Linked DNA regions of Caenorhabditis elegans. The protein of the gene in region 1 purifies or fractionates together with the protein of each later gene. This does not show direct contact. Each region holds a gene or a part of one and is shown in the gene's direction. Other genes may lie near its edges. The genes, in order: cee-1 and deps-1.

Region 1 (3,818 bases):
GCCAATCTGACTGCTTATCATGCTCAAAAACTTGAAATTTCGAGATATCGAGTCGATATGTTGACACCAATTGACAAACTTTTCTGTAAAACCTAATGTTTTTTGTTGAAAATGCCTTTCATTATACCTAAACTCTGGACAGTTGCTTTCTCCAAAAACCACAATTGGCGCTGAGTCCGGAATATTCTCCACAATTTTGATGGCTTTCTCGTTTTTATTGATAATTGATGTTTTTAATACAGACGATGTTGATGACGAGTGGCCAAGTACGTTACAAGTCTGAAAATTTATTTCTGTTAATTTCAAAATTCAAAAAGAGTAGAAAAGAATTAATAAATAAATAAAAAGTTCGTTCCGTGAAGCTCTACAAACTGCGTGTTTGTTTTTTTTTGTTGTTCAATATGAAAATCTTCGATTGAAATCAGTTTGGATTTTAGTTTCAAAGATGGCGGATGCAAATGCAACGATCTGTTATTTGAATGGTCTTTCTCTTCATACCATCAATGAAGTCGAGAAGGTATGTTTTTCAATGAAATTTTCAGACTTTCATTCTAAATCATTCAGATTTTGCTCGCTTTGCCAAAGAAAGGGGACCGCTGTGAAGTGCAAGTGACCAAACCGTTGAATGGAACCATCGGACGTAGTACTGGGGATGTCATTGCTTCAAAGGTTCAGTAGATGCCGGCTCAATTTTTAATAAAATTGCAAATTTCTAGAGCATGCAGATCCATGATGAGCCAAGACCATTGTCTCTGTCACCGCCTCTGCAGAAATCTGAGAAATCTTCGAAGAGCAAGAAACTTTCCGAGTACAGTTGCATGAGTTCGACTAAGGAACAAATGGAGACTGTGGTATTGCTCTTCAAAAAAAGTCCCCAAAATAATAATAGTTTTTTGAAGGAAATTCGCAACGGTTCCAATGCTTCTGCGGCAAAGAAACTCCAATGCAAGGTCTTGACTGATCAAGTTCGTGTCTCGCCAATCGTCTCGTGCAACGGAGTGATTTTGGAGTTGGATGTTGAAGTCACAATTCCTGATCGTGAGGAGAAGAAGAAATTGAAGTTGGAGATCGAGTGCCCCGATTTTGTGCCAGCTCGCATCAAAATTGGCAACAAATGGAAGAAAATTGTTTGAGCGAAAAAGAGTACGATTTGGAGGCAATAAATATTTTGTATTTGATTAAAGTAACTACCTTTTCTTGTTCTTCATATTCTCGTTGCCTTTTTTCGGCTTCTTCTTTCAGTTTCTCTTCACGTTTTGATGTTTCAATTTTCTCTTTCTCGTCGTGCTCTCGTTGTTGTTTCTGTCTTGCCAATCGCATCTTATCGGCTTCTCTGTCTTGAACTTGTCTATCTGAAACGTTTTATTGATGGATAAATCTGTGGTTTTCTTACCGAACTTTTTCTGCTCGATAAGCCTTCGTTCTTCTTCTCTCGCTACCATTAAGTCATAAATATACTTCTTGAAAAGAATGTATATTAAGATCACAACAAAAACTGTCATCCATCCGTAAACTTCAAGAAACGCCCAGGTGCTTGTTCGAAGATCTATAATTATATCGCTTAAATATATGCTCAACAGTTGAACTATTGAAATTCTCGTTATTACCTTGAAGAGTACCCATATTGCTTTAATAAACGTTGAATTATAGCGAAAAAACACCAAAAATTGACAACTTGTCTTGTCCGAGAGGAGTACACGACATTCGGATTCTCGGCCGTGGCCTAGAATATTAGTCAATTTTTGTGCATTTCCACGATTTTTCAACCAGTTTTATTTAACTTTTTTTTCGTCTCTAAAACCACAAAATCGAAATAAAATTTTGAGTTTTCTTGTAAAATATCTTATTTGAAATATTCTGAATACATTTTCTCTTTTTTTGAGATCAAATGGACGCCACAACTCTTTCGAGATTGTCAGAGTTTGAAAAAGAGAAAAAGTTTTATGATGCTCTTCAATTCTACCGGACCAAGGTCACACGCAGTTTCCGATTGAAAAATGCAAATGAAGTGGCTATTCCACTCGTTAAACACGCACTGGAATTCTTCTTCAGAGGTTTGAAAACCAAAATAGAAAATCAAATCTTTTTTATTTTCAGAAAAACAATATCAATGCGCCATCGATATCACCACACAATATGCCGAGTGTCTCTCGAAAAATAACGTTGATCTTGGAGAAGAAGCCTTCAATATTCTTGCTGATAGCGTCTCAAAGTTCGCTAATTTTGCAGAGATTGAGAACGAGGCTGGAAATTCAGAACCCGAACAGTTGTTGAACACTGCACGTTGTAAATGTGTTGACTTGGCCATTCAATGGTAGGTTTATTTGTCGAGGCAATTAAAATATTATTTGATTATTTAATTCAGGACAAAGCAAAAAGCAACCACTCCGATTGAGAAGAAATACGGTTCCGCAGCCTTTCATACTGTTCTCGCCAAAAAGCTAGTTGCCGTCGATCATGTGGAACTTGCCAAAAATCATTTCTTGCTTTCCGATGACTTTAAATCATTCGCCAATTTCCTTCACCAAGAATATGAAAGCTTTAAACAAAAAGAGTCTGAACCAGAAGTCATTATTGTTGAAGCCGTTTTTCAGTCACTCTGTCTCGATCGTTTCCCATTTGCCGTATCTCTTTTCACTGAATACGTGGCTCCTGCCAAGTATCCGTTCACAAAGCCATTGCTCAATTTCCAGCACATATTATTTGACGTTATTGAGACGGAAAACGTGAGTTGAAAACGAACACTGACTTTTAAAAACTGTTTTTCCAGCAACCTCAATATTCGGAGCTCACCTCTAGCTATCAAACAGAATTGAAAAGGTCCCTCGCATTCATTGGATATCTCACGAGAATTGGGAAGCTCTATTTCGGAATTCGTGATAATCAATGCATGAGCGGCGGTCTGGGTGGACTTTTTTCAGGTTCGCTTAAAATTTTAATTTAAAAAAATAATTAACACATTTATTTTAGGACTTCTTGGTGGTCAAAAAGAGGAAGAAACTGCAACTTCTCATATCACTTCTCGGACTCCAGCTCGTCAAAAGCCAGCTGCCATGTCTCAACCTTCTCCATTCGGTCCATTTGGCGCTCTTGCTGGTGCACCGGCTCCAGCTCCAGTTCCAAAGAAAATTCAAAAAGTTGAAATGGAAGAGGATCTCGATTAAGTTTAGATTTCATGTTAAACTATACCTTTTCTTATTGAAAATTGCTCCTTATTTACTGGAAATATTCCCCGATTACCCCTTTTTGTTCCGCTCTTCTTTCATGTGATATTGGGTTTAACTGATGCTTTTTATTGAATATAAAAATTCGAGTTTATTGGTGATAATAGGATCCCACAGTGGAAAACGTTCTGAATAGATAAATACGAGCCGTTGCAAAAAATGAACAAATAATTAAGAAACAACAACAAACGGGGATGATAGAAGAAAACACCGGTGCTCACATCTTGTTGACTTCGCGAAGTCCGAGAATCTTGAAGCATGTTGACATGACTTTTCGGGTAACATCACACAAAGCGAGACGATGCATATGGACAAATGGTTTTTCTGAAAATAAGATTCCATAAATTATTTAAAAGGCTCGACATGTAATTACACACATACCTCCTTCCTTATTTTCAATAACGTAACACTCGTTGTAGAAGTCGTGGAACAGAGTGGCCAACTGATATACGTAGTCGCACATTTGATGAAGCATAAGACTGTCCAAAACAAGAAGAACACAATCCGAGAGCTTCAACAATTGTTTGGCGAGTTTAAACTCTCCTGGATGATCCAATGGGAGTGTTGGTGTACTCGCAATGTATTTGACCAAAT
Region 2 (5,287 bases), on another chromosome or scaffold:
AAAGGTGGACTACACCCTTGTTGGGAAATGGCTTTCAAACATGCCTATGGTACCACAATGACCAAATATCATGATTAAAAAATTCAAAAAATTTTTCTAGATTTTATATGATTTTTTGAAAATCGAAAAAATCTCAGTTTTTGCCTAATTCCTATTTGAATTACCGCCAATTGGATTTGTTCGATGGAGCGCGCTTGCACGTTTTTAAATTTATTTATTTTATTTATTGTTATTTTCCACCGATTTTCAATGTTTTCGGTGTATTTTTGCTTGAATTTTAGAGAAAAAGTTAAAATAAATGCAAATTTCCGATTAAAAAATCACTGAAAATGCGTAAAACTGAAAAATATGCTAGTTTCAGGTTTGTTGTCGTCGGAACTCATTATTTTACAGTTTTACGTATTTTTCACATTTTTAAACACTTTTTAGCAAACATTCTGCATTAATCTTGCTTTTTTACTTCTCTTTCCGATAAAAATACACAACTAATGAAGAAAATCAGTGACATAATAATAATAATAATAATAATAATAATAATAATAATTTATTACGCTCGCTGGGAGACGTGAAGGAATACAGAATACAAAAGTTATCATTGTTCGCTTGAACTAGAATTGGTGCAGTCGGGCAATCGTTTCCATTCCATTAAAATGTTGTCCTTGTCCTTGCGTTGTCCTTGCGTAGACTCCCCCATAGTGGGCGAGCGATTCCCGAGTGAAAATAATCACGGAATGAAAAAATAGAAGAAAAATAGAATAAATTAATAAAAAAAATAATGCAAGCGCGCTCCAACGAACGAGTTCAATTGGCGGTAATTCAAATAGGAATTAGGCAAAAACTTTTTCAGATTTTTTCAATTTTCAAAAAATCATATAAAATTTATAAATTTTTTTTGAAGTTTTTTAACGTGATATTTGGTCATTGTGGTACCATAGGCGTGTTTTAAAGCAATTTCCCCACAGGGTGTAGTCCACATTTAAAAATTAAAAATTAAAAATTCTACCTAACAAAATCGAAAATTTCAGATTCTCCTTGATTAAAAGCTTTATTATTGAGTAAAGAGTCCGCAGCGTCCACACGGAGAGCGGGTACAAGATGGAAATCTGAAAATATTTAGGATTTTCAAGGGAAAATATCGATTTTTTTTAGCAAAATACCACAGAAATTGCGGATGGAATGAGTAGAAGAGCCGGGTTGACTTTCCGGGGAAAGTTTCGACGTGTGATGCTCGTCTCGGAGAGCCTCATTCCCAAGAATCCGGTTGCGATGCTGAAGAAAATCGATGGAAAAAGTCTAAAATATCCCCTGAAACCCTACCTAAAAATCAGAAAATACGAGAAAATATTGATTAAATTCCGAGCCGGCACATAATTCGGGCGGATCAGCACTCCATTGAAGTTTCGAAACGTTTCGCCGTTCCACTGAAGTCCATCGAAGCCGGGAACGGATGGCGGCTCGAAATGCTCGTCGACACTCATTTGACTGGCCCTGTAGAGCCCGATGATGGCAATGGCGAGCATTCCCACTTCCACATGGAATATCAGGCTCTGAAAATTAAAATTTAGCTTTTAGACGGAAAAAATCGATTACTTTGACATGAACTTGATCGAAAAGCCAGCGATACGGGTATTTTCGGTGCAGGCGGCCTGATTCCGGACGTGCTCCTCGAGATATATTGGAATTTGTCGAGCGGATACTAATATCTGCCATTTTTTCGCTGAAAAATCAGAAAAAATAAGTTTTAAAACAGAATTTTAATGGAAAAATAAACGGAAAAATTCGAAACTTTTTTTTCCGCCATTGAACACCAATGTGCCTTTAAGGTACGGTAGCTCTTCGTGGTGAGACCACTGCGCCGCGCATCTGATTTCTCGTGGGAAATTTGTTTCGAATCCTACGTTTTTTACAGATTTTTCTTTTTTTTCGTTTCGCTCATCATTTTTTTGTTGCAAAAAATCCAATTTTCAGACAAAAATGTCAGAACGCCAATCCAAATATTTTGACTATCAAGGTATCGTCATTTCCTCCACTGGACAAGATAACCAAGATTCGGAGACGGACCTCGTTTATCTCATTCAAGCTCATGTACGTGAATTCCCTCCGTTTTCATATTTAAAATAATAAGCTCGTTTTCAGGGAAAAGCGGCCCCGAAGAACATCATGTACGGTGTCTCCAAGTGCGCATTTGTTCCAACAAACTTGGAGAGGAATTTCGATAATATCGAAGAGGCAAAAAATCTTGAGTCAGTATTTATTTGATTTGAGCCCATTTTTAATCTGTTAACACTTGAATTTTTAGACGTCGATCCAAAATCCCGCTAAAGTTCGGTGAAGTCATCCTATGGAACGAATCGGACTGTGATCACGATAAGAGGATAATCCTTCATATCAAACGAGAAAAACCAATTTATGAAGCGTCTTCCAGCAGAAATGGACTTATTTTGAAAGTCGGTGGCGTCATCCAGCCCACCTCAACGACCTCGTTCTGGACGCCATTATGCACCGTCACCATGCGTATGTTTCTTCTTGATTTTCGTCTCTCTAACCATATATTTATTTCAGCAGAGACAGAGGCGACCCGTGCGGAGCCAGACGTTTGGCTATACGCCTGGATTCGATTCGAAACTACCATGAAGAGTGGTCTAGATCCTTTCAATATGACTGCAACATTCGAATCGTTTGACAGTTGCGATCCATCCGACCAAGCACGCGTCTGTGAAGCGGTATTTGCTTTTTAAAAATTTTTTACGGGATTTTGAACAAATAACTTTCAGCCATGGAACGCAGGCTCTCCTGACTCTAAATTCGGTGTTTGGCGCCCGGATCCAAAGCCTGCTGATAGCGACGACGAAATTGATATCGAGCCGAGAGAAGGCTGGCACTTGCCAGAAGACAAATGGGCCGAGGTTAAGGTTGCTTTGTGGATTCTCGTTGACAATTTGATTTTGCAGGTCATCAAGATGCAGCTTGGCCTGTATGTCGGCGAACGCCTACTGATTTGCAAAGAACTCTCGCAGTTCGACTTTATTATCCCACTGCAGAAGCCATTTTCCCGAGGAACGGACAAGACTTTGATCTACCCAGCCGTCGGAGAATACTTTCATTTCAGTGCTATTTGGTCGATGCAGCACAACGGTTTTCTGATCTATGAGCTTCAGCCAGTTCCACTTCTCAGACAGCATGTAACCTCTGTCAACGGAAATGTAAGTTATAATATTGATTTTTTTGTCCAGAACATAATTTTTATTTCAGCTCCTTACCCGCGTCGTTCCTGCCAGTATCAGAGGTCTCTTCGTTGACAAGGAGGGCACTCTTGGATTGATTGATGACCCACACCATCTTCTTTCATTCTTCGAGTTTCATCCAGCTGGTTATGAATTCTTGAAGGCTATGGTAATCATGAGTGGGTCTTATTTTGAAACAAACGCTTTCAATTTTCAGGCCGAAGTTCGTGCTGTTCGAACTTCAGAAAACAAATCTGTCCGTTACCGCATTGTTCGTACATCGGGAATGTCCATTTTTGAAAACTGGCTTCGTGATACTCAGGTCTCTAAAGTTAAATTAAACTCGTCCTTTTCACCCCTGAATTTTTCAGTTCGTTGTTGGTCCAGTCAAAGGAATTCGAATCAATGAAGACACTGTCATTTGTGCCAAACATCCGAATGTCTACTTCAAAATCCCCAATAACTTGAAGGAAGGAATCCCCATTGGCGGAGGAGTTCAATTCGTTGGAAAGCGACAAGCTGGAGTCGACAGTGAAATTATGATCACCGAATGTTCTCCATGTCCAGCGTTCACTTGTAAAAATTACTCGGTCTCTGGTGATACGGTTAGTCTTCAATTATTTAATAGTTTTTATTCTATGAGGAAAATATTCAGCGCTTGTTCCAAGTGTACTTGAAGCCAAATTGCGATCATGAGCAGTTGGCGGAGAGTGATTCGATGGGATTTGTGGATTTCAGAGAGTTGGAGACTCCATGTAGAGGAAAGTGAGTGTGTCAGGATTTGTAAAAATAATTGTAACTGAATTTTAAGGTTCCTGGCATGGGTCCGTGAATCCATTACTGTCAATGATTGTCGCCGTGCTGCTACCATCATGGAAGTATGCTCGACAGCCATCTGTCCTCCGTTGATTGCAATGAGCGCGAATTCGAGCAGAGCAACATCGGCCAGAACTACGCCAGCTGGAAGTTCCATTGGATCCAGATCATCAATTCAATCAAGAGCATCTGCAGCTACTTCAGTGAGCTCAAACGTAAGTTTATTTTTAAGGTTGGAAGATGATAAAAACAAGTTTTTCAGCGATTCGTTGGCCCTTCAAGCCGCAGAACTCCATCTGGTACTCCACAAAGCTCAACATCTTCCAGGGTCTAATTAAATATATACGCATCCCGTTTTCCCCCGTATTTGTGTTTCAAATGTTCTGCTCATTTTTAATCTACCCGTTATCCAACCAAACATTTATTTATTTAAACTTCAAGTTCCACCACCATCCCATTCCGCACAACTTGTCTCTCGTAATTTTCTCGTGCTCTAATGAAGTTGTGGTAGGTTATTCTAGTGAATACACCCATGTTAAGCAGCGAATACATCCAGAAAAGTCCCAACAAGCCGGCAGCGAGATACTCCCCCCAAAATGATGGTTGATCGGTACATCCAAGATAGGGTAGCATCGCGATAGACGTGAGCAAGTTCGTTATGCACTTGAAAAACTGAAATTTCAGAAAAGATTAGGTGTATCAGAAGGTTAAAAACAAACAAATGACATATAGATGAACGAAGCCAGTGATGGAATCGGATTCCGAATACGAGAAGCCATTCCCGGAGATACTGTGATAAGAATCTGTGTGATCGAGAACACAATGAGCACACCCACCGGGAACATGAATTCCATGGAAACACGGAGGCAAAGGTCACAGTACTGCAAAAAATGCGAAATTTTGGCGATTTTTGCTCTAAAAAATGCACTGGCCGGGTCTCACCACGACAAATTTTTGTTGTCAGTTGAATGCCAATAGAGTGTGCGCCTTTAAGGAGTACTGTAGTTTCAAACTTTTGTTGCAATCGATTTTACAGTTTTCCCGAGAAACAAAAGTTTGAAACTACAGTACTCCTTAAAGGCGCACACACTCTTTCCGCATTCAACTTAACAAAAGGTTGTCGTGTCGAGACCCGGCCACTGCATTTTTGTAGCAAAAAAAATTTGAAATTTTCAAGTCTGGATAATAATATATAATATTTTTACCTCAACTATGGGAATTTGCATTTCCAAACTATCCAAACAATC

Evidence for each region.
Region 2: the proteins of cee-1 (region 1) and deps-1 fractionate together in Caenorhabditis elegans (co-fractionation; one large-scale study listed by BioGRID). This does not show direct contact.

Annotation. Positions count from the first base shown.
Region 1 is NC_003281.10:4,910,816-4,914,633, forward strand, and holds cee-1 (Get4 family protein), read left to right. Parts: upstream 1-1,883; 5' UTR 1,884-1,888; coding exon 1,889-2,054; intron 2,055-2,097; coding exon 2,098-2,314; intron 2,315-2,365; coding exon 2,366-2,726; intron 2,727-2,770; coding exon 2,771-2,921; intron 2,922-2,970; coding exon 2,971-3,164; 3' UTR 3,165-3,318; downstream 3,319-3,818. Other genes in the region: F26F4.9 (Glutaredoxin domain-containing protein), read right to left, coding at 1-83, 128-279, 1,192-1,352, 1,394-1,546, 1,608-1,623; F26F4.2 (PDZ domain-containing protein), read left to right, coding at 446-517, 565-669, 717-851, 900-1,133; rars-1 (putative arginine--tRNA ligase, cytoplasmic), read right to left, coding at 3,442-3,548, 3,606-3,818.
Region 2 is NC_003279.8:504,503-509,789, forward strand, and holds deps-1 (P-granule-associated protein deps-1), read left to right. Parts: upstream 1-1,970; 5' UTR 1,971-1,974; coding exon 1,975-2,085; intron 2,086-2,136; coding exon 2,137-2,243; intron 2,244-2,299; coding exon 2,300-2,514; intron 2,515-2,562; coding exon 2,563-2,723; intron 2,724-2,774; coding exon 2,775-2,906; intron 2,907-2,951; coding exon 2,952-3,203; intron 3,204-3,252; coding exon 3,253-3,393; intron 3,394-3,441; coding exon 3,442-3,546; intron 3,547-3,595; coding exon 3,596-3,829; intron 3,830-3,879; coding exon 3,880-3,989; intron 3,990-4,035; coding exon 4,036-4,255; intron 4,256-4,302; coding exon 4,303-4,374; 3' UTR 4,375-4,469; downstream 4,470-5,287. Other genes in the region: Y65B4BL.4 (Dolichyl-phosphate-mannose--protein mannosyltransferase), read right to left, coding at 1,004-1,103, 1,158-1,269, 1,318-1,547, 1,591-1,710; Y65B4BL.7 (uncharacterized protein), read right to left, coding at 4,470-4,712, 4,760-4,921, 5,246-5,287. UniProt on the Caenorhabditis elegans protein: Component of P-granules which is required for P-granule formation and integrity in adult germ cells. Promotes the accumulation of glh-1 mRNA and localization of pgl-1 to P-granules. Involved in RNA-mediated gene silencing (RNAi) in the germline.